Caenorhabditis elegans: one gene and its partners. The protein of the gene in region 2 purifies or fractionates together with the protein of the main gene of each other region. This does not show direct contact. Each region holds a gene or a part of one and is shown on either strand. Other genes may lie near its edges.

Region 1 (5,960 bases), on a different chromosome or scaffold from region 2:
CAAAATTTTGAGGTTTTCTGTGAAATTTCAAGCTGAAATTTCCATTTTTGAATAAAAAAAATGTGGCTGGATTTAAAAAAAAACCATTAAAATTGATTTTTTAACTGAAAAATCCGTATTTCTCTGAAATTTCAGGCAAAAAATGTCATTTCCGAAATTAAAAATTGCGACAAAATCAAATAAAATTGATCAAATTTGCAAAAAAAAAAAAACTTTCGCAAAAAATCCTTAAAATTTACATTTTTCAACAAAAACTCGAATTTTCAGTCAAAAATTCGTCTGAAAATGCTCCAAAATATGGGATTTTTTGAAATTTTAGCTAAAAATTGAGAATTGCACGGTATTTAGAGAGGGAAAAATTCCATAAAAATCGATATTTTCCTCTTTAAAATCTCGAAAAAAATCATCAATTTTCATTCAAAAATCCCCCCCGGAAAATTGTCAAAATTTTGAGATTTTTCTGAAATTTCACGCAAAAATTTTCATTTTTTCAGCCCACCTTCATCACTCTCGAATGATCGATCTCTTCACGTCAAATGCACTTTTTTCTGGATTTTTTTGTTAAAAAATTTGAAATTCTCGTGTTTTTTCTTCTGAAAAATTGCTTTTTTTGATTTTTTCTGTAATTTTTTTTTTGTTGATTTTCTTAATTTTTTTAATTTTCAAAAAATCTTTTTCATCTCTTTCTCTCTCTCTCTGAATCTCAATTTTTTCCTGAATTTCCCCGTTTTTTTCTGATAATTTTCAATATTTCTCTGAATTTTTCTATTCCCCCCGTTGTAATGCCAAAATATGTGGTAATTTCTCCCCATTTTTTCGCTTTATTACTATTTATTCTATTCAATTGGTGCCTCTCTCAATGTGTTGTATGAAAAACACTGTTTTATGGAGGTTTTGGAGAATTTTGAATTTTTTCGTCGTGATTTTTATTGGTTTTCTTTACCAATTCAATTTTTTTTTTAATTCGAAAATTTGTAGAAATTCACTTTTGTAGCTTAAAAAATTAAAAATTGAGAAAATTTGTTCAAAAATGGCAAAGTTTTCGAAATTTTAGTCTAAAAAAAGATTTTTTTAATATAGAATTTTAAAAAATTAGCACAGAAAAATGCCGAAAAATTCGTAATTTTTCATTTAAAAATGAAAAAAAAAAAAAACAAAAAAAAAAAAAAAAAAGAGGGAAAAATCCCATTAAAAGTAGTTTTTTGACTGCAAAATCGTCTGGAAATTAACAAAATTTAAAAAAATCTTTTTTACAGCCCATCGTTTCCAAAAACCAAATAAAATGCCAAAAAAAAATTTTTATGCAAAAATTCTGGATTTTTTTCCGATTTTTTCAAAAAATTCCCCCTTCTAAAAAAAATGGTGAATTTGTTCCCAAAAACCCAAAATTTGAGATTTTCTAAAATTTTGGCAAAAATTAAGAATTTCACGGTTTTGAGAGGGAAAAACTCCATTAAAATTGATGATTTTATGACTAAAAATTCCTAAAAAATCAATTTTCAGTCAAAAATTAAATTTTTTGAAATTCTAGCTAAACATTAAGAAATTCACGGTTTTGCGAGGAAAATCTATTTAAATCGATATTTTTTGACTGAAAAATCCCTGAAAAATCAAAAATTTTTGGCTAAAAATTGAGAATATTTTTTGTTTTAAAAAAATCATTGAAATTGATTTTTTTGTTTTAAAATTTCCATAAAAATCGCGGAGAAGTCAATTTTCAGTCATAAATCTTCTGAAAATTATCCAAACAATGGGATTTTCTGAAATTTTAGCTTGAAAATTGAGAATTTCCCGGTTTTGTCATGGAAATTCCATTACAATCGATATTTTTTGACAGAAAAATTGCTCTGGAAATTAACAAAAACCAAATAAAATGTCAATTTTTTTTAAATCCAAAAATTGTTGGATTTTTTCAGAAAAAAATATTTTTTCAATTGACTGGTGTCCAAAAAATATAGAAAATTCAAATTTTCCAAGAAAAATAGCCAAAAAAATGTAATTTTTGTCTAACAAAAAAATTGAATAGCGCAAAATTAAATTGTCGTTTTTTTTAAATTTCCCGGTTTTGAAAGGAACAAATTCCATAAAAATCGAAATTTTTTGACTGAAAAATCCGTGAAAACTAGAATTTTGAGTCAAAAATCCTCTGAAAATGCTCCAAAATATGAGATTTTCTGAAATTTTAGCTAAAAATTGAGAAATTCACGGTTTTTTCAGAGAAATTCCATTACAATCGATATTTTTCAAGTGAAAAATCCTCTGGAAATCAACAAAAACCCAATAAAATGCCCTAATTTTTTTAATCCAAAAAAATCTGGATTTTTTCAAAAAAAATTCCCTCCCCCACTAAAAAAATCGTATTTCCCAATTTTCAGAGCCAAAAAAAAAATGGTGAATTTGTTCCCAAAAACCGTCGAATCCGACGAAGAAATGGAAATCGACGAGTCGGACGACGAGCAAGTCCAAGACGAGGCAGTAACCGTCAGAAAGAAGAAGAAAATGGCGAATGCCGCCGAAGAATTTGCTCAGGATTTCATTTTTGAGTCAGGCGACACCCAATTTATCGATCGAGAAACCGAGGATCTTCAGAAATATCTGAAAAAGCAGACGCCAACGTCACTGGACGAGAAAATCGCCGAAATGAGAAAGTTGAAGAATACGGGAAAAGCTGTAATTGTTGAGGATGAAGCTGAAGCTGCTGAAGCCGAGGAGAAAGATGAAGAAGAGGATGATGTTCAACAATTGGGTGGAAAAGAGACACGAGATACTGTACGAGAGAAGAGAAAAAGTGGAAAATCAAAGAAATCCCAGGAAAATGAGGATTTCTTTTCGGCGCTGATTGATGGAAAAAGTCTCGACACGAGTGTTAATGTATCATTTGAACAAATGAATTTGAGCCGACAGATTTTGAAGGCGTGCTCCGGCGCTGGATATTCGGATCCGACGCCTATTCAACAGGCGTGTATTCCGGTCGCACTTACTGGAAAGGTGAATTGCTGTTTTGCGGAGAATTTTTTTTTTTGGAAATTTTCTGACAAAAAGTAGAGGTGGAGTAGTGAAATGTCTGGGAAATATTTTTATTTGACTCCAAATTATTATTTTGAAAAAAATTTAGGCAAAAAAGGATTGAAAAATCTTAAAATTAATGTTTTGGTTTATTTTTTGCCAAAAATCAATTTTAGTTTTTTTTTTACCTTTGGGAAAAATTGAAAAATTCAACATTAATGAAAAACTGGAAAGATGCCCGAAAAATCGTTTTTTTTTCCAAAAAAAAAATTTAAAAAGAGAAAAAATTGAAGAACATTCAAATTTTCCAAAAAAAATATATATTCTTCCGAAAAAAAAATTTTCACAAAAAAAAATACCAAAAACGGATATGTATATTGAAGGAACCAGAAATTTTTCGTTCTCAAAAAAATTTGCTTCCTTTTCAAAAAAAAAAACACAAAAAGCCAATGATTAACATTTTTGTCAGGACTAAATTTTTAAAAAATTCTTCAGCAAAAAATCAACTTTCACTTAAGGTAATGTTTCTATCATTTTTGCGAAAAAAAAAACAATTCTCGTGAAAAAAATTATTTTTTCTGAAAAAATAACCAGATTGGGGTTTTTTTTATTAGACTGCTGTCCAAAAAAAAATTGAAATTTTCAAAAAAAAAACAACAGGCGTGTATTCCGGTGGCACTTACTGGAAAGGTACTGCAATCTTGCGGAAAATTTTTTTTTGGAATTTTTCTGACAAGAATTAAAGGTGGAGTACCGAAATTTGAACCTTTGCTTTTTCCGACCCGAAATGGTCCAAAACTACCGAATTTCATAATGAGACTTCACGAAAAATTTCCAAAAATTTTTTATGGCCGGTCATAATTTCGAAAAAAAAGAGCCAAATTTTGCTAAAATCTGAAATTTCGCAAACTTTTCTTTGTCATAGCCGCTGGTTTTTAGTTTTTCTGAAATTATCACCTTTTAATCTTTATTTTGGTAATTTATATCACGGAAATTCGATGATTGAGACAACTTTTAGGCTGATAGGCATCCAAAAATATAAATTACCAAAATAAGGATAAAAAGGTGATAATTTCAGAAAAGTTAAAATCCAGCAGCTGTGACAAAGAAAAGTGTGCGAAATTTCAGATTTTAGCAAAATTTGGCTCTTTTTTTTTGAAATTTTGACAAGCCATAAAAAATTTTTGGAAATTTTTTGTGAAGTTTCATTATGAAATTCGGTGTTTTCAGACAATTTTAAGTCTAATAAAGCAATTTAAAAAATTCGACTACACCTCCTTTAAAAAAAAAGGACATTTAGTGATTTTTTTTTTCTTCAAAAATTGATCTAAAACTGTTCAATTTCAGGACATTTGCGCCTGTGCAGCGACTGGAACCGGAAAAACCGCCGCCTTCGTTCTTCCAATTCTCGAACGTATGATTTATCGTCCGAAAGGTGCCAGTTGTACACGTGTACTCGTTTTGGTACCAACTCGTGAACTGGCAATTCAAGTATTCCAAGTTTTCCGAAAATTATCGACGTTCATTCAATTGGAAGTTTGTCTGTGTGCAGGTTAGTTGGAGAATGCGATGATTTTTTGGGAAATTTTGGGAAGAAAAAGCCAAAATTTACAGTGTAAAAAATTGGAATTTTTAAAAAATTTAATATTAAGTTTGAATTTTCGGAGCAAAAGCTGCGAATATTGTTAAAAATCTGAAAAAATCTAAAAAATATGATTTTTTGAATAAAATTTTTCAAAAAATTAAAAAATTGCTGAAAAAGCAATTTTTTTGTGAAAAAATCAGAAAAATACTAATTTTATTATAAAAATATTAATTTCACCGGAAATTTTCCAATTTTTGAGAAAATCTGAAAAATAAAAATTTTTGGATTTTTTGGAACATTTATGAAAAAATCAAAAAAAACCAATTTTTTTTCAAAAAATAAATAGGAGATATATCATCAAAAAATCAATTTTTTCAAAAAAAAACTGATATTTTTTGTCGGATTTATCTCGAAAAAATTAAATTTTCCGGAAATTTTGGCATTTTCTAGACAGAAAAATCCGAAAAAATTGGATAAAATTTATCAAAAAAATTGAAAAAATAGCTGAAAAAAGCAATTTTTTTCGTTAAAAAATCGGAAAAATAGAAAATTTATTTTAAAAATTAATTTTTTTCAACAAAAAACGGCCCTTTTTTGTAAAATCGGATTTATCTCGTAGAAATTTAAATTTTCCGGAAATTTTGGCATTTTTTGGAGAAAAATCTGTAAATATTGTTTAAAATCTGAAAAATAAAATTTTTTGGATAAAATTTACCAAAAAAAAAATCAATTTTCAAATTTTTCCAAAGAAAAACTGATATTCTTTGTGTAAAATCGGATTTATCTCGTAAAAATCTAAAATTTCCGGAAATTTTGGCGTTTTTAGACAAAAAAAATCTGAAAAATTGGATAAAATTTATCAAAAAAATTGAAAAAATAGCTGAAAAAAGCAATTTTTTTGTAAAAATCGGAAAAATACTAATTTTATAACAAACAATTGAATTTCACCGGAATTTTTTAATTTTTGAAAAAAAAGAAGAAAAACGGCTCTTTTTTTGTAAAATCGGATTTATCTCGAAAAAATTAAATTTTCCGGAAATTTTGGCATTTTTTAGACAGAAAAATCTGAAAAAATTGGATAAAATTTATCAAAAAAAATAGCTGAAAAAGCAATTTTTTTCGTTAAAAAAACAATTAAAGTTTATCGGAAATTAAAAAAAAAAAATTTTCAACTATTTTTCTCGAAAAAAACCAGTTTTCCGGAAAATTTGAATTTTTTTTTGAAGAAAAATCTGAAAAAAAATTAATTTTTCAACAAATAGTAAAAATCTACATCCTTTATTCAATTTTAAACGATTTTTAAATTGAAAAAGTACAACAAAAAATTTAAAAAAAAAACAAGGCAATTTGAGTGTTGGAGGGGGGGCCC
Region 2 (6,581 bases):
CGTGGAAGCTCACTAAACTTCTATTAATATCTCATTCGAAACTTATCAATCTTTTAAAATTCTATAATTCGTATGATATTACAGTGGTAGTCAAAACGATAGCCACATTTTGTGTTCAGATAGTTGAGCAACTTATCCATATGCATTTATCTAGAAATTTTAGAAGTTCAACTAACAAAATTTGAAGCATAGTTTTATATGCTTGAGTTTTCCATAGCAATCATACACAAAACATTATTCAAATTTAAACATTTTTCCATGAAAATATCACTCTGAAAATCATCGTAGAAAATGAACTCATGCGATGTTGAAATCCTATTTTTTGTCATCATCGCAAATATCAAAAGACTTTTTAAAAAATCAATGGTTTCTAGTAATTGCATGTATTGCAAAATTATCAAGATAAAAAACGAAAAAAGAAAGCGGACAACAAGTTACTGTAACTCGTGTCAAATAACGCCCGTTAATTGGCACGAGTTACAGTAATTCGTTATTCGCGTGGTGAGACCTTTGTACGTACGATTTGTCAAAAAGACTCATTTTTGACGTCTATGTAATATGAATTTCTCAACTTAAAACTGAATAATGTCTTGTTGCTTGTGATTGTGTACACCTAATTTTTCAATCACATGCTCGGGAACTCACGGCAACCGAATAGAAAATGTTTGGGGTACGGTAGATTACGGTACAGTGGCTGTAATGTATGTACCCACATTGTAATATCATATTTCCTGAAACGCCTACTTAGATGATTTTTCAAATTTTTCAAAAGTCGCTGTGAGAAAATCCTTTACATTTTTCGCGGCGAGACCCAATTGAATCGATCTATACATCTTTAATAAAGCTACAAAAGTACAATAAACAGTTAATATAAACATATAATATGTTTAATATAGAATACTACGTATTTTGACAAAAAAGCTTTCAACATTTCTTCTGCCAATTTCACTCGGAAAAAGCATTCATTTTCTTCGGAACTGCTCCCTCGTTTTTGATTGATTGCCCACTTCGTTTTATTTTCGATTTTTCCAGTCTTCGAGTACGTTCAATGAGAATACAGAATTTCCCATCCATGAAAAGACACCAGAAGTCAAAATCTGCACCAATCGTCCATATCTGTCACATCATCATTTTGCGAGAAAACGGATCCTGTCGCGAATACGATATCATGTTTCGAGTCATGTCTTAAATTTTAGTCGCTGTTCTTTTTTATTCAGAAAAAAAAAGCTTCGAACAAAAATGGCAAACAAAAGCTGGATGGGATAGATAACAACAACAACAAAAAGAAACTAACAACAAGAGTAAATATGAGAATAATAAAAAAATATGGAAAAAGAGAACTGGTTGATAAAAAACAAGATTTGAAAAATAAAATCAACAATTTAAATCTAAAGGGTTCTAGTTTTAGAATGTATTCTGGCGTTTTCCAACGTTTACGTTTCCAGGAAGTTTTTTCAGTCCTTTTGTGACCAGAGCATTCGGGCGTCGGCTCACTTCTTTTCGTTCAGCTGCATGAGCTGCTTGTTTCGTCTTTGCAGCTTCTGCACGAAGATCCTTATCACGTTTCGAAATCGTGAATGTCATCTCGCGACCTCCGAAGGGTACATCATCATCGTTGACCTTCTTAGTCTTTCTATCACTTCTCGCAGTTGCTCTTTTACGGGCACCGAGAGCCATCGAGTCCTAAAAATAAATGAATAGTCATAATTTTAATAAATAAAAAACACCTTGTTGTCAGCATCATCTCTGACCGCGACAGTTTCGTCAACAAACTTTCTAGTCGTCTCGCCGGTTCCAATTGAATGAAGTACGAATTTGGAAGGTTTCGATAACTGTCGCTGTTCTCTGAAAATCAAGAAAGAATATTTATTTATATTTTTTGGAAAATTTTTAGACGAATGGCACATTCAATTTCAGTGTAACTGAGGTTAGTAGGTGTTAAAAATATTTTTATGTAATTTTAAAAGGTTATTTTTGAATGTTAAAAATGTTTTTGTTAATTTCTGAGAGAAGAAAACTATGTCGAATGATCATATTTTTCGTATTCAAACCCAAATGGAACATTTTCATCTTTAATTTGGAAAAATGTTGAAAAAACTAACTTCCTAATCTTCTTCGCCTCTTTCCGTTCGTCGTATTTCTGCGATTTTTGAATGTTTCGTTCAGATTTTTTAGCGGCGCGAACTTTGGCTCGTTTTGCTTTCAACGATTGGTCTATATCTTCATCACTTGAAGCACTTTCCAAATCCGAAGCCATATCTACTTCACGATTTTCCTCAACCATCCATGATGCAGATCCTTTCGGTTCACTATCACTACCACTTGCTTCATTTTCAGAGTCGGATGCATCATTGTCTTCAGATTCTTCACCTTCCGATTCCACTTCAACAGGTCCTTTTGCTTTCATTTTTTGTGCAATTGATGCATTCTTCAGGAATTGCTCACTTGTTTCATCAACTTCGAAATCTTCAGACTCGAACAATTTCTTGAAACGATCATCAGCAAGAAGAGAAGTTGCGGCATCTGATTTCTTGCTCTTCTTTTTCTCTTTCTTGGTTTCCGCCTTCTGATTAGCAGCTGATGCTTCATCACGGAGTCTAGCTGCGAGAGCCTTATTCACTGCTGGCAACTTTTCCACCTTCTTTTTAACTGCAGACTCTTCACGTTCATCAGCAATCATTGACTTGATCTTCTCATCCTTGTACTTTTCATAAGCAAATGGTTGCATTTGTGTTTGAGCTTTGTTGTATAGACGAGCATCAATGAAATATCCATGCATGTATGCTCGAAGAACATTTGTTCCGATTAGTCCCGAAAGCCCAAGATCATCAAGTTGTTTCTTGGTAACGAAACGATAGTTATCGTAGACTGTAGTTTCTGTTTCCTCCATCTCTTCTGTAAGATTTTCCAAATAAGAACACCATTTTGGAGCAGGGCCAAGTTGTGGAATAAAGTACTGGAGCATTTTTGGAGCTTCGTTTGCGAAGAAGAACATTCCTGAATTTGGGAACCGGCAGAAGTCGTTTAATGGGCATGTATTCTCGATAGCAGCCATAGGTGAACCATCTTCTTCATGCCATAGCTTCATCATTCTAGAATCCATAGAAGCAACGACATCCCCATCGTCTCTTTTGATAAAATCTAGTTTATTGATTGGTAATTCGTTATTGTGGTCCTTGATAAGAAGAGGTCGACGAGCACGCAAATCGTAAATAAGGATTTGGCCTGTACTTGTACCCACTCCAATGTGTAAAGGATCAGAAAATGCAACAGACGTGACGGCCACTTTTTGATTTTCACTGAAAAAAAGATGTTTTGATACTCATTATAGAAGATCAATTCTTACCCGATATGGCTATTAACAGAAGAACCTGCATCTAAGGTACCACATAAAGATTTGTCTCTGTGATCCCATGCCTCAACGACACCGTTTGTGGTACCACAGCAAATTAATTGATGTTCAGTACAAACTTGAACGCAGTTCAGAGGAGCAGTCGATTCGAATGGAGTCAGCCAACATCCTTGCTCGAGATTGAAACGGTAAACTTCGCTTCTGAAATTTGCTTTTAGCTTAGAACATTTTAAATATTGAAACTACTTCGATCCAACGAGATACAAATCACTTGATTCTTCTGAAAGTGCCATGTCTCGTCCTTGGCATGGCATTCGCATTCGGAAATATCTTCCAAGCATCGCATGCATTTCAATCCATCGTTCTTCTTCTAATATTACTACCTGCAACATGTGCAAGCTGAATATCATTTCCATAGCAACCAATACATACCTTCGAGTAGTCGTCGCTCAGTGGGATAAGTTTAATGACATCTGCATCGAGTCCTCTTTCGAATTTTAATGATAGATTGTTCAAATCGTAGCATCTCAGCCAAGGTTTGTAGTTTCCTTTAAAACACGGCAAATATTTACAGAAGCTTTCTAACTGATTTTGAATACAAATATATTTTTTCTCATTTTCAATTTTTTAAATTCATTTACAGAGCTTATTATTATAATTCCTCGCGTTTTAAATAGTTTACTGGTTCGTTTAAATTATACCTGAAGCCCACACATATTTGCCATCTGGAGTGATGTTCACTGTGTTACTGACATCGGGCATTTCGAAATCTTGAATGAGCTGAATCCTCTGACGAACATCGGTGTTTCTTTGTTCCAATTTTCTTCTAGTGCGGGATGACATCCACTGAAAAATAAAATTGTTTTAATATCTGCTATTTCTATATGGTTATACCTCTGGTAGGCTTTTTCCAGCGCTCAAGTTATAAATTTTAACATCGTTGACCGTTGAAACTTCCATTTCTGTTCTGAAAAAACAATTTCTGAGTGATAAATAGTCAATATTTATAATTTCAACTGAAAATGGAAAAAAATAATTGAGAAAATAATTAAATTAAAGAACGCGCGACTGCGAAATAACGGATTGTTGTAGTTATTATTTCGTCTCCTTCATACGTATACTCTCTTTCACTCCATGCAAGCTATTCGAATTGTACTGGCGCATGAATGGTGGTTGGCGGTGCAACGAATGCCTGTGTCTCCCATTTATGTATAGTCATTGAGTGGCCGCGACGCTGCTGTTCTGCGTCGCGTGCGCGCCGATTTGAATTTGAACGTTCTCCAACACAAATTTCATATTTCCTTAATTTACATGCTATCTCTAGTTTATAAACTAGTTTCTTAATTTATATGTCTATCATAAATAGGTGTTTATTTTTCTATGCTTCAAAAGTATTGTTATTTTTCGCTTTCTTCTCGTAATTGACTGATCATTGATATAAAATATTCCAGGTTTCGAAATGGCAAAGAAATCATCCGGTAGTGCACCATCTCGTGCTTCTGGAAGATCAGGGTTCGTTTTTTTTTATTCGAATTTTTCGTTCTAATAAATGATCTACAATATTTATTTTTCAGAAAGCAAACCACTCACTTCCAGGTTGTGCACGATGCCACGAAACACCGGGCAAAGCGTAGCAAATCGTCTAAATCTGGAGACTCGAAGAGCTCTTCTCAGGACGCTTCAGTCAAGAAGATTCTTGATCACAAACTATTCAACACGCACTACGTTGAATATAATGTCCTCCTTTCAAATGGCAGGAAAATGATGGCCACTGAGTTCGATTTTGAGGTTTTTAAAGATTTCCACGGGCGCTTATACATTTACACTTTCAGGGCAAAAAGGAGCAGAAACTATTGGCCGATTACAAGTATAAGATCACCAACCAAGATGATGATCCAGATGAGGGTAGCTCATTTTGATTGTATAAAATTCCCACGTTCAATTTTCAGATTTTGCTGTCGAGAAAATCATTGCTCACCGCTTCAGCGGAAAGAAGAACAAGCCACTGTTTTTGGTCATGTGGCGTGGATACCCAAACCCGGTGTCTCACTCGGAGATGTGGGAGAATGAGTTGTCGGTGAGTTCAACTAGTTGATGAAGTTTAGAATACTCTGCAACATTATTATAACTAAAATTTTGCGTAACCTTACTATTTCAGAACTGCAAAGATCTTCTTGAAGCCTACAAAGATTCTCATGACATGAAACCACCACCGGTCAAGAAGTCTAACAAGAAGAAGGGAAGCAAGAAATCGCCGAAAAAGTCCGCTAAATCGAAGGATGATGACTCTTCCGACGAAGAGGAAGAAGAGGAAGTCAAAGAGAAATCTCCAAAGAAATCCTCGAAATCCACAAAGAGAGCTGCTTCTGATGATGATGAAGAAGAGGAGCCTGTTGCTACAAAGAAGTCGAAGAAATCGAAGCGTGCTGAGACTCCTGAGGAAGAAGACGACGAAGAAGAAGAGGTTGTTAAGACTCCGAAGAAGACGAAGAAATCGAAGCGTGCTGAGACTCCTGAGGAAGAAGACGAAGTAGAAGAAGAGGTTGTTAAGACTCCAAAAAAGTCGAAGTCTTCGAAGAGTCCAAAGAAGTCGAAACGCGCTGAAACCTCCGACGAGGAAGACGAGGATGAGGAAGATGAGAAAGAAGCACCTAAATCGAGCAAGAAACAGGAAAAGGCCAAATCAAGCAAACGTGTTGCTGAAGATTCAGGAAATGAAGAAGAAGATCAAGACAATACTAGTGGAAGTGGCAGCGAGGGTGAAGAAGAAGAAGAAGAAGCATCGTCCAACGGAAAGAGAAAGTCTAGACATTAGGCAAATATTTCAACGACCGTTTTAAATATTTTATTTTATTTTTCCCCATTCTGTAACGTTCCACATTTTCACTCAAAATCTCTTAATTCTTTTCGTTCTGCTCATTTAATCCCCCACACTGTCTTTACAAATGCATTTGAGTTTCTCAAAATCTCAATGTATTCCGATTCTAATGTTTTATTTTAATCATGCTGTCTTCAATTATCTGTTGTTAACATATAATATTCACCAATGAAGAAGATCTCTTTAACGTAAACTTTGATCGTTTGATTGAGGTTGTGCAGTAGCAGTACATCCATTTATCCGTTGTATAAAGTTACAGATTTTAATTAAAACCCCTGCTTTTATCACATTTGATTAATTTCAGATGAATTGGGAGGACAGAATGGCACAGCTGCAGAAAGATGCTCAAGA
Region 3 (8,584 bases), on a different chromosome or scaffold from region 2:
ATCAAAAAATTTCTTAATAGAAAAGATCGAGAATTTTTTTGCGATCATTTTTCATATGCATCGCAAAATCAAATTTGGGGTTAGTTTTCGAGATAGCAGCCAATATAGTTTTCAGACTGAGTATCATGAACCAATCCATCTAGTTTCTGTGCTACCGTGCCGTCCTCATTGAATTTTTTTCGCGCTCCATTGACAATCGCTCTCCGGACATGGGAAAGTCGTGTACTCCACACGGACAAGTGCATTTAGTTTTACAATCGAGCCGCGACGCGACACGCAACGCGCCGTAAATCTACCCCCAGATATGGCCTGGCCTAGTTCGGCAAAAACTCTTCCATTTCAATTTCTGAGGGAAGCCAGACACATCCGTGAATTTTTGACCATATCCACGTTTTTCTTGTCAAATAACAATAGCATATTCAACAGGACAATTGACAATTGAATTGAGATATGAGAAACAAGAAAAAGTAATTTGACTCCTGACTTCTTCTTCTTCTTTTTCATAGAGTGGATGGTGGATAGTGACATACAAACAGGGCACACAGTTTCGTGTTGACACTCTCTCTCTCTCTGGACAGAACAATATAAGACACGAACATGAAAAGGAAGATGAACAATGTTCCTGCAAAAAAAAGTTGAAGCTTGGAAGAGTTGGAGAAATTTTCACCAAATCAGCAATTGCCGGAAATGAAAATTTCGGGCAAATCGGCAAATTGCCAGGATTGAAAATTTCCATCAAATCGGCAATTGCTGAAAATGAAAAATTTGGGCAAGTTGACAAATCGGCAAATTGCCGGAATTGAAAATTTCCGGAAAATTGGCAAATCGGCAAATTGCCGCAATTGAAAATTTCCGCTAAATTGGCAAATTGCCGGAATTGAAAATTTTCCGGCATATCGGTGAATCGCCAAATTGCCGGAATTGAAAATTTCCGGAAAATTGGCAAATCGGCAAATCGCCGGAATTGAAAATTTCCGCCAAATTGGCAAACTGCCGGAATTGAAAATTTTCCGGCATATCGGCGAATCGCCAAATTGCCGGAATTGAAAATTTCCGGTAAATTGGCGGAGTTGAAAATTTCCAGCCAATTGGCAATTTCCGAAAATTAAAATTTCCGGCAAATCGGCACATTGCCAGAATTGAAAATTTCCGGCAAATTGGCAATTGCCGAAAATTAAAATTTCGGGCAAATCGCAAATTGCCCGGAATTAAAAATTGCATTTTGCCGATTTGCCGAAAAAACGACAATTGCAGAAAATTGTGGTTTTGACATTTTTGGAAATTTCAGAATTTCAACATTATTTGTTTTAAGTGGATCCGTCTTTTTAAAAGTCTCTTTAAAAACTTTCGCAAACGGCAAATCGGCAATTTGTCGAAAATGGAAATTTTCGGCAATTTTGCTCGTTTATTACATGTTTAATCCTAAATTTCGGTATATTTTCAGTCGCTGGGAACACAAATTTCATAAAATTTCGCTTTATTTTGTGTTAAAAACTAAATTTTCTCAGAAAAATTCACATTTTAAAGGAAATTCTTCAATTTGAACTTCCCGCTATTTTTATACTGTCTGTTTTATCAACAGGGCGCGTTTGCACTTTTCAACTTCTGGCTTTTTTCGCCTTTTTTAATCCATTTTTTCACATTTATTGATCGAAAATCTTGCGGATAAAGGCTATTTTTTCAAGATTAAATTAATAAAAATTTGAAATTACTTAAATTGAATCCTAAAATCTGTGAAAATCCCAAAATAATACTCTCAAATCGGAGCCAAGCCGTCAATACATAGAAAAAATCCAAAAAACCTTAAAACTGCTGATTTTTCCACTTTTTTCTACAATTTTCCGACACTTTTATAGGTTTTCCATGCCCTAAGTACAAATATGAACGGGATTATTCGTTTTTCTCCCCTCTCTGGCACTCTTGTCGTCTCTCGCCCTCTCACTTACCCCCGCTGTCTCGTTTTCCCATTTCTCGGTGAAATTTTGAACCAATTTTTTGGTTTTTACACTTATTTTGACGATTTTTCCAGTATTTTCGTGTAAAAATTGAGATTTCTCGTGTTTTTAACGTTATTTTATGTGGTTTTAAGTTGTAAAACTTTTTTTTGGGAATTTATCGATTTTTAAGGTAATTCGCTGCAAAAATGACGAAATCAAAGTCAAAAAAGGAGGATTTGATCCCGGAAATCGGGGATTTCACAAAGTTTTTCAAAAGGTTGGCATAATTAATCGAAAAAAATATAGAAAAAAAATTTAAAAAATCAATAAAATGTTGATTTTTCAGTCGATCAAAATTTTCCGACCAAATAACCGATGTTATTTCGAATGTCTACGAATGGTCGACATCACTGGAACCTTCAGAAGACAATCTTCCACTTCCATTTGTTTCGAAAAACGAAGAAGTCGTTTGGAGTTATCTGAAGCATCAGAATAAGCAATTAGATGGAATTAATAAGAAATATAAGGTGCTTATTCGCGGGATTTTGCTCGAAAAATCCTAAAATAATCTTAAATTCCGAAAAAACACAGAAGAAAATCGAAAAAATCGATTTTTAAAGTTCTATTTTTCAATTTTGGCGAAATTCCCTCCAATTCCCTCCAAAATGAAGAACGACCAATCAGCGATTAGCACCGCCCACTTTTGAACCAATAAGAGGAAAGGGGCGGAGTTCGAAGGTGCTGATTGTTCAGTACAAAAAACGGAGGAAAAACGAAAAAAAATCGATTTTTTTTTCGAATTTTGGTTAAATTCCGTTTCCGACCAATCAACGATTCGCTCCGTCCATTTTTGAACCAATCAGATGAAGTGGGCGGAGCTCAAAGACGCTGATTGGTCGTGCAGTCCTTATTTTAAAGGGAATTCAACAAAATTTTAAAAAATCGATTTTTAAAACGTGATTTTTCAATTTTGGTTAAATTCCGTCTTCGACCAATCAGCGATTCGCTCCGCCCACTTTTGAACCAATCAAATGAAGTGGGCGGAGTTTGAAGGCGCTGATTGGTCGGGCAATTCTTATTTTGGAGGGAATTCAAACAAGTTTGAAAAAAATTGCGTTTTTAAATTTCAAACTAAATTTTCGGGATTTTTGAAAAAAATTTCTAAAAATCCCGAAAAAAATGTCCTAAAAAATTTCTAAAAATTCCACAATTTTCAAAAAATCTAGAAATTTTTAGCAATTTCCGAAAAATTTCTAAATTTCCAAAAATATTGAACTTTTTTTGAAAATTTTTGAAAAAAATCGAGTTTTTTTTTCTGAATTTCAGGCTATTTTTTGGAGTTTTTTTTCACTTTTTTTTTCCTCAAAATTGCTTGAAAATGCTCCGAATTTCAGGGATTTCTTTCCGAGTTGATTGGAAAATCGCATATTCGGGTGGCGGCGAAAATTCAGGATTCTGAAGGTTCGGAAGATGGTTCTGATGGCTCCGATGGCGGCTCCGAAGAGGAGCTCGATGATGATGAGGAAGAGCTGGAAGATGAAGAGCTCGAGGATGAAATGATTGACGATGAGGATGAAGCCGATCTTTTTAATTTAAGCGAGAGTGATCTGAAGACGTTGGACGCTGATTTGAAGAAAATGGAAGAAGAAGAAGCCGGAGAAGAGAAAGAGGAGGTGGAAAAAGCCACAGAACAACCGAAAAAATTCAAGAAATCCATTGTGGACGATCAGTTTTTCAATCTTGACGAGATGCACGATTTTTTGCAAAAAACTGAGAGAGCTGGAGGCAAAAAGGCCGCTCAGGATGAGGAAATGATGTTTGAGGATGAAGTATGTACCTGGATGGCTGAAAATCTGCAAAATTTGGATTTTTATGAGCCGAAAAGTGCCAAAAAGTGCCCAAAAACAATTTTAAAAATACACACTTTTTTCCACAAAAAGTGCGCGAAGAAATTGCAAACTCCGCCCCCCTTTTTCCCGGCCAGAATTCGTAATTTCGAAATTAGAGTGCAATCGCGCTCCAACGCCAACACAACACAAGTATTGCCGGAATTGTTAAATTTTCGGCAAATTGGTAAATTGCCGGAATCGATAATTTCCGGCAAATCGGCAAATTGCCGGAATCGATAATTTCCGGCAAATCGGCATAATTGGAAATTTCCAGCAAATTGGCAATTGCCGAAAATGAAAATTTTGGCCAAATCGGCAAATTGCCAGAATTGGAAAGTTCCGGCAAATTGTCAAGTTGCCGGAATTGTTAAATATCCGGCAAACCGGTAAATTGCCGGAATTGAAATTTCCAGCAAATCGACAAATTGCCGGAATTTTAAAATTTCCGGCAAATTGGCAACTTGCCGGAATTGAAAATTTCCAGCAAATCGGCATATTGCCTGATTTGTGAAATTTCCGCCAATTTGCCGAAAATGAAAATTTTGGGCAAATCGGCAAATTGCCAGAATTGAAAAGTTCCGGCAAATTGTCAAATTGCCGGAATTGTTAAATATCCGGCAAACCGGTAAATTGCCGGAATTGAAATTTCCAGCAAATCGGCAAATTGCCGGAATTGCAAAATGTCCGGTAAATCGTAAATTGCCAGAATTGAAAAGTTCCGGCATATCGACAAATCGCCGGAATTGTTAAATATCCGGCAAACCGGTAAATTGGCGGAATTGTGAAATTTCCGCCAATTTGCCGAAAATGAAAATTTTGGGCAAATCGGCAAATTGCCAGAATTGAAAAGTTCCGGCAAATCGGCAAATTGTGGTTTTGCACAATTTTTTGTTGTTGGAAACTTCATATTTTCTTGTTCCAAACGAGACCCAATAGGCCAATTAGCGATGGAGCGCGATTGCACCTCAGTTTTCAAAAACCGCCTCGCTGCCATAATATATTAATCTCGATGAAAATTCCCTAAGAAAATGTGTGTGTGTGTGTGTTTTTTTCAAAATTTCAATTAAAAAAAAAAAAAAATAATAATTTCAGGATAGCTGGGACGGAAAAACCGACTACACGTATGAGGACTTTTTTGGATCTCGTGAGACAGTTGCTGAAACCGAAAAAATGAATGGAGAGAAGAAAAAAATTGAAAAAGATAAGAAACGGAAGGCTGGAGATAAAGCTGATTTATCACTTGATGATGGGTTTGTAGTTTGTAGTTTGGAGGAATTGGAGAAAAAAACGGAAAACCACAGAAAAAAACGAGAAAATCCCCCAACCAATCAGCGTCTTCAACTCCGCCCACTCCACCTGATTGGTTGGAAAGTGGGCGGAGCGAATCGCTGATTGGTCGCGGTCTCATTTTGAAAAAAATTCGGCCAAAATATTGAAAATCTGCGTTTTTTAGTTTTCAAAAAATGTAGAAATTCAGCAATTTCCGAAAATATTTAGAAATTTCTAAATTTTTGGAAATTTGAAATTTTTTTTTCACTTTTTTTTCGCCAAAATTGATGGATTTTTCATTATTTTGCGATTTTTTTTTTCGTTTTTCTCCAAAAATACTGTAAAAATGTAGAAAATCACTAAATTTATCCGAAAAATCACGTTTATTTCAGCTGAAAAAATCAAAAAATATTTTTCGAATTTTCTAGCTGAAATAAATGTAATTTTCCGGATAAATTTAGTGATTTTCTACAATTTGACACTATTTTTCAATGAAAATCGTTGGAAGCACATGGTGCAACATGACAAAATTGTAAAATTGCCGAAAATAAGTGAAAAAAATTTAAAAATCCCAATTTTCAATCTTTTTTCTAGGAACGCCGAAAAAATTGCGAAAAAAGTTGCAAAACGCGATGTTTTGAATTCCCTCCAAATGAGAACTCATCGACCAATCAGCGACTCGCTCCGCCCATCTCTGGACCAATCAGACGAAGTGGGCGGAGTTCGACGACACTGATTGGCCGGGGAGTTTTCATTTTGGGGGAATCCAAACAAAAGTGAAAAAATCGATTTTTAAAAACGTGATTTTTCCAATTTTGATCAAATTCCGTCTGCGACCAATCAGCGATTTGTTCCGCCCTTTTTTGCACCAATCAGGGTGTGTGGGAGGAGTTTGAAGGAGCTGATTGGTCGAAATGCTAATTTTGCGAATTTTTCGCAAAACTCGGAAAAATCCAACTTTCTGAAACTACGACCAATCAGCGATTTGCTCCGCCCACTTTTGCACCAATCAGGGTGTGTGGGCGGAGTTTGAAGGCGCTGATTGGTCGGGGAGTTTTCATTTTGGGGGGAATTTGAAATTTTAAAATCCAAATTTAAAAAATCGCCTTTTTTGTGATTTTTCCGAATTTAGGACTATTTTTTAATAAATTTTTAAAGCGAAAAATTCAATTCAAAAATGTTCTTCCAGAAAGAACAAAAAACGCGTTCGTTTCGCAATGGATGAGGAACCTGAAGAAGAAGAAGTTGAAGACGAGGAGCAAGAAGACATTAATGATGAAGAAGAGCCCCCAGAGGATGAGCCAGTGCTCCTCGGAGCCGACCTCGAAGAGCCGAAGGAAGAATCGGCGTTTGCCAAGCGTCAGTCCAAGATGAAGGAACGAATCGCTAAGCTTGAGGAGGAGAATTTGGCTCCAAAATCGTGGGAGCTCTCCGGAGAGGTTGCCGCCGATCAGAGAGATCAGAATACCCTGCTGGAGAAGCATGTGGATTTTGATCATGGAGCAAAACGTGCTCCAGAGGTTACCGAAGAGTTTACAGGTACGCTGATGATGGCTGGAAATTGGAAATTTTAGAAGAAAAACTATGGGAAAAGCGAAAAAAATCGGGAAAATCTCACTTTTTGAAACTGCGACCAATCAGCGATTAGCTCAGCCCATTTTTGGACCAATCAGATGGAGTGGGCGGAGTTTGAAGGTGATGATTGGTCGGGGAGTTGTCATTTTGCGATTTTTTATCAAAAAAAATCGGGAAAATCCAACTTTTGAAACTGCGACCAATCAGCGATTAGCTCCGCCCATTTTTGGACCAATCAGATGGAGTGGGCGGAGTTTGAAGGTGCTGATTGGTCGGGGAGTTGTCATTTTGCGATTTTTTATCAAAAAAATCGAAAAAATCCAACTTTTGAAACTGCGACCAATCAGCGATTTGCTCCGCCCATTTTTGGCCCAATCAGATGGAGTGGGCGGAGTTTGAAGGTGCTGATTGGTCGGGGAGTTCGAAAATTGAAAAATCACGATTTTTTTCTTTTCAAAGTTTTGAATAAAACAATTTTTTCGGCAGGAAATTAGTTTTTTGAAAAGTTGCAAAAATTTTATAAACAAATTTATTAAAATTGTATTAAAATTAACACAGAAAAAGAGGCGGAGCCTAATTTCGCAACCTTGCCGCACGGTTTTTCCTCTTTCTTTTTGTTGGTTTTTTTCCAATGAAGTTTCGATTTTACTTGTTTTATTTTCTTTCGAAAAACGAAAATAAAACAATTAAATTCAAAAATTGATTTAAAAAATGAAAACCGTGCCACAGGGTTGCGAAATTAGGCTCCGCCTATTTTCTGTGCGACAATGCTGCTTTTTGTAAAATTTACGAATGGAAATCGCCAAATTTCAACCATAAAATAGGCAAAGAGAGCCTCCGTAACACGGAAAAATTGGCGAAATTTGAGATTTGAAACCGTCGCACAGAAAAAGAGGCGGAGCCTAATTTCGCAACCTTGCCGCACGGTTTTTCCTCCTTTTTTGACCGGTGTTAATTTTAATATCCTCATAATAGCATTTTCATTCGAAAAAGAAAATAACATAATTAAATTCAAAAATTGATTTAAAAAAATTAAAACCGTGCCGCAGGGTTGCAAAATTAGGGGCTTCGCCTATTTTTCTGTGCGATGCTGATTCACGACGGATTGCTCGTAAAATTTCAACCATAAAATATGCAAAAAATAGTATTTTTTTCGCAAATTTCGAGGCTTTAGCTTAAAAATGCCGTTTTTTTTTTCAAATTTTAAGACGAAAACTGCCTCTTTTTCTGTGCGATGCGCAAAATTTTATTTTTTTCTAAATTTCAAATATAAAATAGGCAAAAAATAGCTGATATGACATGGAAAAATTGGAAATTTTCGAGATTTTAGCTTAAAAATTCCGTTTTTTTTTTTTTTTTTTTAATTTCAGCCATAAAATAGGCAAAAATAGAGTTTTTTTCCAGACCGCCTCGAGTCACTTATCAAGCAACGAATTCGTGATAAAGCCTGGGATGATGTGATTCGAGTGAAAAAAGTCGAAGCGAAAGGCGCCAAATTCGAAACTGAAGCCATCGAGAATCAAATGAATCAGAAAACTTCCTTGGCTGAGGTTTATGAGAAGGAATATCAAAATTCGACTGGAAATTCTGCAGATGGAGCAGCAGGAGCCACGAAGCCGAATGAAGCTCATGAAGCTATAAAATCGAAGATGGGAGATCTCTTCCGGCTAATTGATGCGCTAACTCATTTCGAGTATAAACCGGATCAAGCTCGCGAGGAGGTGAAAGTGGTCTCAAATATGGCTGCTCTACGTGTGGAAGAAGTCGGAATTACAGCTTCAACGGAGGCTCAGCTTATGGCTCCAGAGGAGATTTCGAAGAAGATGAAGGCGATTGAAAAGAGCAAGGATGAGAGAGACGCGACTGATAAGGCACGAGAACGTCGGCAGAAGAAGGCTAAGCAGAGGTCGATGC
Region 4 (8,540 bases), on a different chromosome or scaffold from region 2:
TCTGGCCAACGTGTACCAAGAAGCTCAACGGAGAAGTGTGCACCTACGTCTTCCGTGATCGTCTCTAAATATCCTAAATCTACACATATTTTTTTTTCTCTCCATTTCTCTGAATATCTTCCGATTTGTTACGGGCGTTCCCTCTCTCTCTAGTTTTTCCTCTATTTTTATCCATTTTTCACCCCAAAAAATCCCAGTTTCTACACAAATTTTGTACCAAATCTCCCCAAAAAACTAAATGTGATATTATTTTTTTTTAGAAAAATATGAAGAAAAATTTCAAAAAATATTGAAATTTCTTTTTGCTAAAAACAAAAAAATTTCGATTTTATTTTTAAAATTTTTTCAAATATCAAAAATTTCCGTAATTTTTCGATGTTTCAGTATTTAAAAAAATCGGAAAATTTAAATTTTCCAATTTTCAAAAAGTTTTTAATTTTTTTTCGATAAAAAAAATCGAAAATTTCAGATATTTACAAAAAAAAATTTAATTAAAATTTAGATTTTTTCAAAATTTAAAAAAAAAACAACTGAAAACTAAAAATTATAGATTTTTCGGAACTTATCCTAAATTTTCGTTTTCAAAAAAAATTTAACTTTTAAATTAATTATATTTTTAAAAAATCGAAAATTTTCGATATTTCCAAAAGATTGAAAATTTGAAATTTTTTCAAATATCAAACATTTCCGTAATTTTTCGTGTTTTCAAAAAAATTTTAAAAACTATTGAAATTTCTTTTTTTTTTTCTAAAGCGAAAAAGTAAAAATTGTCGAGAAATTTTATTTTCCGATTTTCAAAAAATTATAATTTTTTGTAGATTTCAAAAAAAAAATTTCGGAAATTTTCAATTTTTTTAATCGAAAAAAATTGAGCACTTTTTGAAAATCGGAAAATTGAAATTTTCCAATTTTCAAAAAGTTGTCAAATTTCTTTTTTGTTAAAAAATTGAAAATTTCCGATTTTTCATCGTTTTTTTTTTGAAAATATCAAAAAATCAAGAATTTTAATTTTTCGATTTTCAAAAAATTAAAATTTTTCAATTTTTCAAAAAAAAAACTAAAAATTCGATATTTTCAATATTAAAAAAACCAAAATTTTCGAAATTTTGCTCCAAATCTGTGATATTCTATTAAACAAATCAAAAAAATCTTATAACAAGTAACAAAAAAAAACCAAAAATTTAAAAATTAAAAAAAAAATGCTCCAAAAAAATCAGGAAAACAACGACTTAAAGAGCTCATTCCGGCTCTCATGGCTCCAAGTGACGACCGACGGCTTCGATGGATAGAAATTGATGAGCCGGGCGATTGGCTCGTACTTCAAGCGGCGATCTTTTGACGAAAGTTGCGAGACATCTCGTTTTTTCTTGTTACTGAACATTGTCTGTAACTCCATATAGCTTCTCGTCATGTCTGCTCCGTCTTGAGAGTTGTTGCTCATCTGGTTTCGTGCTTCGAGCATTTGTTTGAGCAGAATTTGATAGAAATCCGAATCGTCGAACGTCTCGGGGTCCAGGGATTCCGGAGAGTCGGATTTGCCGCCGATTCGCGGTTTTCCGCTTCGATTTGTGCGCACTTTTTTGAGCAGCTTCTCCTCGTCGGCGAGAACCTGCAAAATTTCAATTTTTTTAAGATGAAAAAATGGGTCTCACCGCGATTTTAGGTTTAAATTCGTAAATTATTGGTCTCGCCGCGATTTTCGCTACTTTAAAGGCGCATGTAATGGGTCTCGCAATGATTTTCAGAGATTTCCACGGAAAAATTTATAAAATTTCCAATTTTTCACAACTAAAACACGTTTTTTTCAGAAAGGCAAAGCGGCAAATCGGCAAATTGGCGGAATTGAAAATTTTCGGCAAATCGGCAATTTGCCGGAATTGAAAATTTTCGGCACATCGGCAAATTGGCGGAATTAAAAATTTCCGGCAAATCGGCAAAATGCCGGAATTGAAAATTTCCGGCAAATCGGCAAATTGGCGGAATTAAAAATTTCCGGCAAATCGGCAAAATGCCGGAATTGAAAATTTCCGGCAAATCAGCAAATTGCCGGAGCGATTTTTGCGGGAAATTTTGGAATTTCAATTTAAAAAATTTTAAGCTTACGATTTTTAGTGAAAAATTAAGAATTTTGCGGCAAAAAACGGGGTTTTTAATGGAAATTGCCTGGAAATTCGGATTTTTGAGGAAAAAATGAGCAAAAAAAACATTTTTGTGCGATTTTTTTCGTGAAATTTGCGAAAAAATCGATTTTTCAGCCAAAAAACTAGATATTATGGTAAAAAACCGATTTTAAAGCAGAAATCCAACGCTGGGTGGTGCTACTTTAAAGGTGCATGGAATGGGTCTCGCCGCGATTTCCGTTATTTTAAAGGCGCACGATATGGAAATGTTTGAAAATTTTTTAATTTCTGGAAAAAAGTAGGGTTTTTGTTGTGAAAAACCGGAAATTTTATGGTTGTTTTTTCGTAGAAAATTGGCAAAAAATACACGAATTTTTCAAATAAATTTTCAGAATTTTCAGAATTGTGCGATTTTTGCGGGAAATTTTGGAATTTCAATTTAAAAAATTTTTAATTTACGATTTTCAATGAAAAATTAAGAAAAAACCGGGGTTTACAATAGAATTTGCTTGGAAATTCGAATTTTTGAGGAAAAACCAGCAAAAGGTTTTTTGTGCGATTTTTCCGTGAAATTTGCGAGAAAAAAAATCGATTTTTTCAGCCAAAAATCAGCCAAAATTGAAAAATTAGCCAAAAAATTAGATTTTTTGGGGGAAAATCTGCCAAAAAAAATATTCGAAATTCGATTTTCGGAATCCAGCCGTTTTTTTTTGTTGTCCCAAATGCAAAAATTTCGATTTTTCAGCCAAAAAACTAGATATTATGGTTAAAAAAACCGATTTTTAAGCAGAAATCCAACGCTTTTCCGCCACAATTTTCTACCTTATTAATCTGTCCAAGAATGCTGCCCTTTTCAAAAACCGAAAAATCCGTATTATTCATAGATTTCGGCGTGTTGAGAATCTTAGTTCGATTGTACCATTTCGTGAGTGTTGTTGCTCGGAATTTCTCCATTTTTTCATCGATTTTTTGCAGATTTTTTGCGAGGCTTTTCACACTGGTAGATCCTCCACCAATTTTCCGTGATTTTCCCGGAATTTCGAGCTCTTCCGCCGGCTCTTCTTCATCGTCTTCAAAATCACTGAGAATCTCCTCATCACTTGGAATTTCCTCTACATCATCATCATCTTCTTCATCTTCTCCGGCGGCTTTTCCCTTCCCTTCACCAATCAATTCCATCGCGTTTTTCATTAAATTCCGTAATTTTCCCATATTTTCCATGGCCGATTCCATCGATTTTTGTGTGTGCTCTTCGCTGGTTTTGAGCAGATTTTTTCGAGCTTCTCCACGTGGCAGCTGATTGGCTGTGTTGAGCAACGCGTGGAGCCGGATATTCGAATAGAGTAGATCATCCCATACGAGACGCTGATTTCGGACACTGGCGGCTGAAAAAATGGAATTTTTTTTGGGAATTTTTAGGGAAAAGCTGCAGTTTTCCGAAAAAAAAAGCAGTTTTTAAGTATAAAATATTAAGATTTTTAAAATTTTTTAGCATGGGTTTTCTTTTTTTTTTTTTTTTGATTTTTAATAGAAAATTTGAAGATTTATGGAATTTTTCCGTTGAAATTAATTTTTTTTTCGGCGATTTATTTTAGCATGTTTGATTTGTAATGGAAAATTTGAAGATAATTGAGAATTTCCGATAATTTTTTTTTATTTTAAAATTTTCTCAATTTCCGTAAGAAAATTTCAAGTTTTCTGGGATTTTTTTTTCAATTTTTCCACATTTCTAAGATTCTTGAAGGTTTTTTTTTTCAATTTTTTGTGCATTAAAAAAATAAAAATAAAAAATTTTGTAACTTTTTAAATGATTTAATGTGATTTTTTTTTAAAGAATTGCCAATTTTCCGATTTTTTAACGGAATTTTTGCTCCAAACTTTTAGATTTTTTCGTTTTTTTTCCAAATAAAATATAAAAATTTCATAAAATATGGTTTTTTTAAAATAAAAACTCAAAAATTTGGAGATTTTCTGAGTAAATCTGGAATTTTACGACTTTTTGTGTGGAAATTTGAGTTTTTTGTGATTTTTTAGAGCAAAACTTGAAGCTTTTCGTGATTTTGCGGGTGATATCTGAGATTTAAAGACGTTTTTGTGAAGATAATTGCAGATTTTTCTGAAAAAATCCGATATTTTGACTGAAAAAAGTCATTTTTCCTCGGAAAATCGGTCAATTTTCGCAATTTTAATTTTAAAAACTATACTTTTTCCCAATTTTCAATCAAAATATCGGATTTTTTCAGAAAAATCTGAAATTATCTTCACTAAAACGTCTTAAAATCTCAAATATTACCCGAAAAATTACAAAAAACTCAAATTTTCACACGAAAAGTCCTAAAATTGTACAAACAATTTTTTTTGAAAAATCCCGAAAAATTTCTCAAAAAACTGGAAATTTTCTTCAAGAAATCGCTAAAAAGTCACATTTTTTCTGAAACATTGCGAAAATCTTGAAATTAATAAAAAATAATCGGAAATTCCCAAAAATGTTCAAATTTTCCATTAAAAACCACCAAAAAAAAATCTAATTTTCCCGAAAATCACCAGATGTTCATTTAAAAACATTGCAATTTTAGAAGAATCGCCAAAAAAATAATTTTAACGGAAAAATTCCACAAATCGTCCAATTTTCCATAAAATAACCACACAAAAAAAAATCTAAAGTCCCAAAATTTCAGATTTAAGTCGAAAAATCTGAAAAATTCAGCATTTTCAAATGCGAAACATAGGAAAACTTCAAAAATCTTAATATTTTATATTTAAAACCGACTTTTTCGGAAAAAAAAACCGCTTTTTAATATAAAATATAAAATATCAAGATTTTTGAAATTTTCCTGGGTTTCGCATTTGAAAATGCTGAATTTTTCAGATTTTTCGACTGAAATCTGAAATTTTGGGACTTTAGATTTTTTTTTTGTGTGGTTATTTTATGGAAAATTGGACGATTTGTGGAATTTTTCCGTAAAAAATTATTTTTTTGGCGATTTTTTTTAAATTGCAATGTTTTTAAATGAACATCTGGTGATTTTCGGGAAAATTAGATTTTTTTTGGTTGGTTTTTAATGGAAAATTTGAAGATTTTTGGGAATTTTCAATTATTTTTTTTATTAATTTCAAGATTTTCGCAATGCTTCAGAGAAAAATATGACTTTTTCAGCGATTTCTTGAAGAAAATTTAAAGTTTTTTGGGATTTTTCAAAAATTAGGAGATTAGTTTGATTTTTCTGTGGAAAATTGGCAATTTTCCCGATTTTTTTTAACGGAATTTGCTCCTTTCTAGGTTTTTTTGAATTAAAACTCAAAGTTTTGGCGATTTTTTGAGTAAATCTGGAATTTCACGACTTTTTGTGTGGAAATTTGAGTTTTTTGTGATTTTGCGGGTGAAATCTGAGATTTTAAGCCTATTTTTTCTGAAAAAAAAAATCAATTTTCCTCGGAAAATCGGTCAATTTTCGCAATTTTAATGTTAAAAATACAGAAAAAACCGGGAAATTCGCCAAAAAATGCTTTTTTCGCAAATTTTTCCCATTTCAGAGGCTTTATTAACCTTTATCGGCTTTATCCTCCTCATCTTTCAGCGAAAGAGTAGTCATTCCCATATTTGTATCAATTTCTTCAGGATTTTCATCTTCCTCGTCTTCTAAATCCTCATTTTCCTCCTCATCTTCAATTTCTGGCTCAGATTCATCGAAATTATCGATTTTTTCCTCCTCGTCCTCGTCTTCCTCGCTCTCCGACTTGTCAAAGTTCCCTTGTAAGCCGGAAATTTCAGAAATATCACCGAAAAGCTCTTTTCTTGAAACAGCACTTCCCGCGTACTTTCCCTCCTCGAAATTGAAATTTTGAGCGGCTTTTTGGCGGTTTCCGGTGGATTTTAGGGATTTTAGCGCGGACTGCGAGTCTGAAACATTTTTTTTGTTAATTTTTCGCCTGAAAAACTAGATAACCTTCAAAATTATCATCCTCCAAGTCTGGCAGCTCTGTTGCGGGCGTTGTTAGCTTCGAAATGTCATCTAACAAACCCATTTCTGAAAAAAACTTGATTTTATGGATTTTCCCGACTTTTAGGGCACAATAAAGCTGTGTTAGACGGTTTTAATGTCAAAAAGTGCATTTTTAGCATTAAAACACGGAAAAAATCTCGGAAAATGAGTGGAAATTGAGTTTTTTTCGAATAAAATAAAATAAAATAAAATAAATTAAATAATTTTCAAGCGGGATAACGGAGTGTCGTAGTGCGTGTTGTTTAGTGCAAAATAAAATAAAATTGGATTTTCTGTGCGAAAAAAAAAACAAGAAAATTAGATTTTCCAGCTTGGAATTTGTGAAATGATTGTACAATTTAAGACAATTTAAGACAAAAGTTCAGATGTTTCAGCATATTTTCATAAAATTTCAGATAATTGGAGACATTTTCAGATTATCATATCAGTCCGCTTTGAGCCACCCTTTGTTCCGGAAATGCCATTTCCTCAAGTTTCTAGGAGAAGGATCGTACATTACCACAGAGGATATGAAATTTATATTGAAGAATTTTAATTTGAAATATGGATTCCTGACTCGCTCTCTACGCAGAACCAAGATTGATATAAAACTGGTAAGTTGAAAAGATAATTGTTAAGAACTAGAATACTAAAATTTAAGTTGGTCAATATTCCACGTTTGGATTTCGAAAAAAGCCCAGGATTAACACTGGACGATTTGAAAATGATGAATTGCGAGAAGATGAGATTTTATGATCTCAATACAATCAAGGCAAGAGAAATCAATAAGTACATTCGTTATTGGTTAGACGGGAACCTACCAAACCTGAGAAGACTTCAATTGAACTATTGGTGGCATCATTGGGCGGGCGACTTATTGTATGGCTTACCATATTCCAAATGGAATCCGAAACGTCGAGCAAGAATATTCTGGTGAGTTTTATTACACCCTTTTCCAAATATTAACTTTTTGTTAGATCCTGTTAGAATCCTGAGATTATTAGCGATGTGAGCTACCTATATAAGTGGCAATGAGTCGAAATGAATTTAGCTTTTATTAAATTTATTTCAGCGATGATCTTGAATTCGTGGATTGCTCATATGGACGTGATATCGAAAGAAGTGATGGTCTATTAGCAACTATTCTCATTGAAAACTTTGCCATGTATTTTCTCGTATGGCATGATAGATTTCCGACGGATCCTCGAACATTGTTCCACTTCTCAAATTCCGTTTCAGTTCCAATTACAAATAATTAAAATTATTAATTTTCTATGAAATTACTTTTGGTGTATTATTGCTGTGCTGGTTAACTTTACTTTTTCAGTTACTAAAATAAAATTCAATTCAAATTTATTTGAGCTAATAAAATCCTGGTAAAAACTTTCTGAGGAATAGGAATCAAAAATTTTTCCCGTTGAAAATGTATAGACTCTTGAAATATGTAAAAAAATCTTTGTCCTCGTTCATTATTTTATAGCAAATGGCAGGATAAATGGAATATGAAAAAAAAACGATCAACAGAAAACTTGTAAAGCTAAAAATGAGGAACACGTTACCAGCAAAAACTATTTTCCTATTTTCTTTCACAGTCGAGATGTAGCTGATCAAACTGCTAGTACATTGTGATCAACTTGTGAGACTATTCTGGGTATTTTAACATGTGGTGTCAGGATGCCCCATTAGTGTTTGATCTTCAAAAAATGCGGGAATTTTTAATACAGAAAACTGTGACGTCATCACGCTTTCACCATGTAAATTCAGTCAGGGAATTCTGCGCCTAAAAAACAATAACATATAACTTTTTAAAAAAAATAAAGTTTCTGAAATTTTGAAACAAGGAAACATTGATCAAACATAAGTTCAAATTTTCTCAGAAATAACGTTTTGCCGGGAAATTGAAAATTTCTTTCTTTTGAAAATTATGTTTGGCGGCCCGAGTTTATTTTGTATTTTCTAGTTTTGTAATACATTAGTCGCGATTCGGATTTCTGGCTTCTCTCATAAATTGAAATGGAAGAGTTTTTGCAGAACTAGGCCATTTTGGCTCAGTAGATTTACGGCGCGTTGCGTGTCGCGTCGCGGCTCGATTTAAGTTGTAAAACTGAATGTAGTTGTCCGTGCGGAGTACACGGCTTTCCCACGCGTTGTCCGGCGGGCGATTGTCGATGGAGCGCGAAAATGTAACGAGAAAGGCCAGAGCCCCATGATTACCGTATATCTTCTATTAATATGGCCTCCCTATTAGACTTGCACTCCCTATTAGTATTGTCCCTCGGAGATCTTCTGAAAATTAGTATTGCACTCCCTAATAGTCTTGCGTTTACTCTTTTTTATTGCAGGCCCGTCTCGTTAATTTCAGGATTTCAACAAAAAAAATTGCCTATTTTGCTACAGTTTTTCACAATATTTCTACGAGATTGAAGTTTTTGAACTT

Evidence for each region.
Region 1: the proteins of nol-10 (region 2) and ddx-27 fractionate together in Caenorhabditis elegans (co-fractionation; one large-scale study listed by BioGRID). This does not show direct contact.
Region 3: the proteins of nol-10 (region 2) and Y75B8A.7 fractionate together in Caenorhabditis elegans (co-fractionation; one large-scale study listed by BioGRID). This does not show direct contact.
Region 4: the proteins of nol-10 (region 2) and aatf-1 fractionate together in Caenorhabditis elegans (co-fractionation; one large-scale study listed by BioGRID). This does not show direct contact.

Annotation. Positions count from the first base shown.
Region 1 is NC_003279.8:1,765,512-1,771,471, forward strand, and holds the start of ddx-27 (RNA helicase), read left to right. Parts: upstream 1-2,375; 5' UTR 2,376-2,430; coding exon 2,431-2,988; intron 2,989-4,353; coding exon 4,354-4,558; intron 4,559-5,855; exon of another isoform or gene 5,856-5,960. Other genes in the region: lin-65 (uncharacterized protein), read left to right, coding at 495-518.
Region 2 is NC_003282.8:7,578,335-7,584,915, reverse strand, and holds nol-10 (NUC153 domain-containing protein), read right to left. Parts: upstream 4,320-6,581; 5' UTR 4,313-4,319; coding exon 4,247-4,312; intron 4,199-4,246; coding exon 4,054-4,198; intron 3,901-4,053; coding exon 3,785-3,900; intron 3,736-3,784; coding exon 3,599-3,735; intron 3,554-3,598; coding exon 3,347-3,553; intron 3,300-3,346; coding exon 2,103-3,299; intron 1,846-2,102; coding exon 1,728-1,845; intron 1,684-1,727; coding exon 1,405-1,683; 3' UTR 1,192-1,404; downstream 1-1,191. Other genes in the region: cec-5 (Chromo domain-containing protein), read left to right, coding at 4,812-4,864, 4,927-5,140, 5,185-5,257, 5,302-5,429, 5,511-6,167; F32E10.5 (Tudor domain-containing protein), read left to right, coding at 6,553-6,581.
Region 3 is NC_003281.10:12,150,772-12,159,355, forward strand, and holds the start of Y75B8A.7 (U3 small nucleolar ribonucleoprotein MPP10), read left to right. Parts: upstream 1-2,127; 5' UTR 2,128-2,143; coding exon 2,144-2,214; intron 2,215-2,283; coding exon 2,284-2,464; intron 2,465-3,331; coding exon 3,332-3,766; intron 3,767-4,918; coding exon 4,919-5,076; intron 5,077-6,284; coding exon 6,285-6,634; intron 6,635-8,074; coding exon 8,075-8,584.
Region 4 is NC_003279.8:1,599,446-1,607,985, reverse strand, and holds aatf-1 (Protein BFR2), read right to left. Parts: upstream 6,149-8,540; 5' UTR 6,147-6,148; coding exon 6,068-6,146; intron 6,022-6,067; coding exon 5,668-6,021; intron 3,506-5,667; coding exon 2,943-3,505; intron 1,610-2,942; coding exon 1,214-1,609; 3' UTR 1,140-1,213; downstream 1-1,139. Other genes in the region: Y73E7A.6 (Bladder cancer-associated protein), read left to right, coding at 1-68.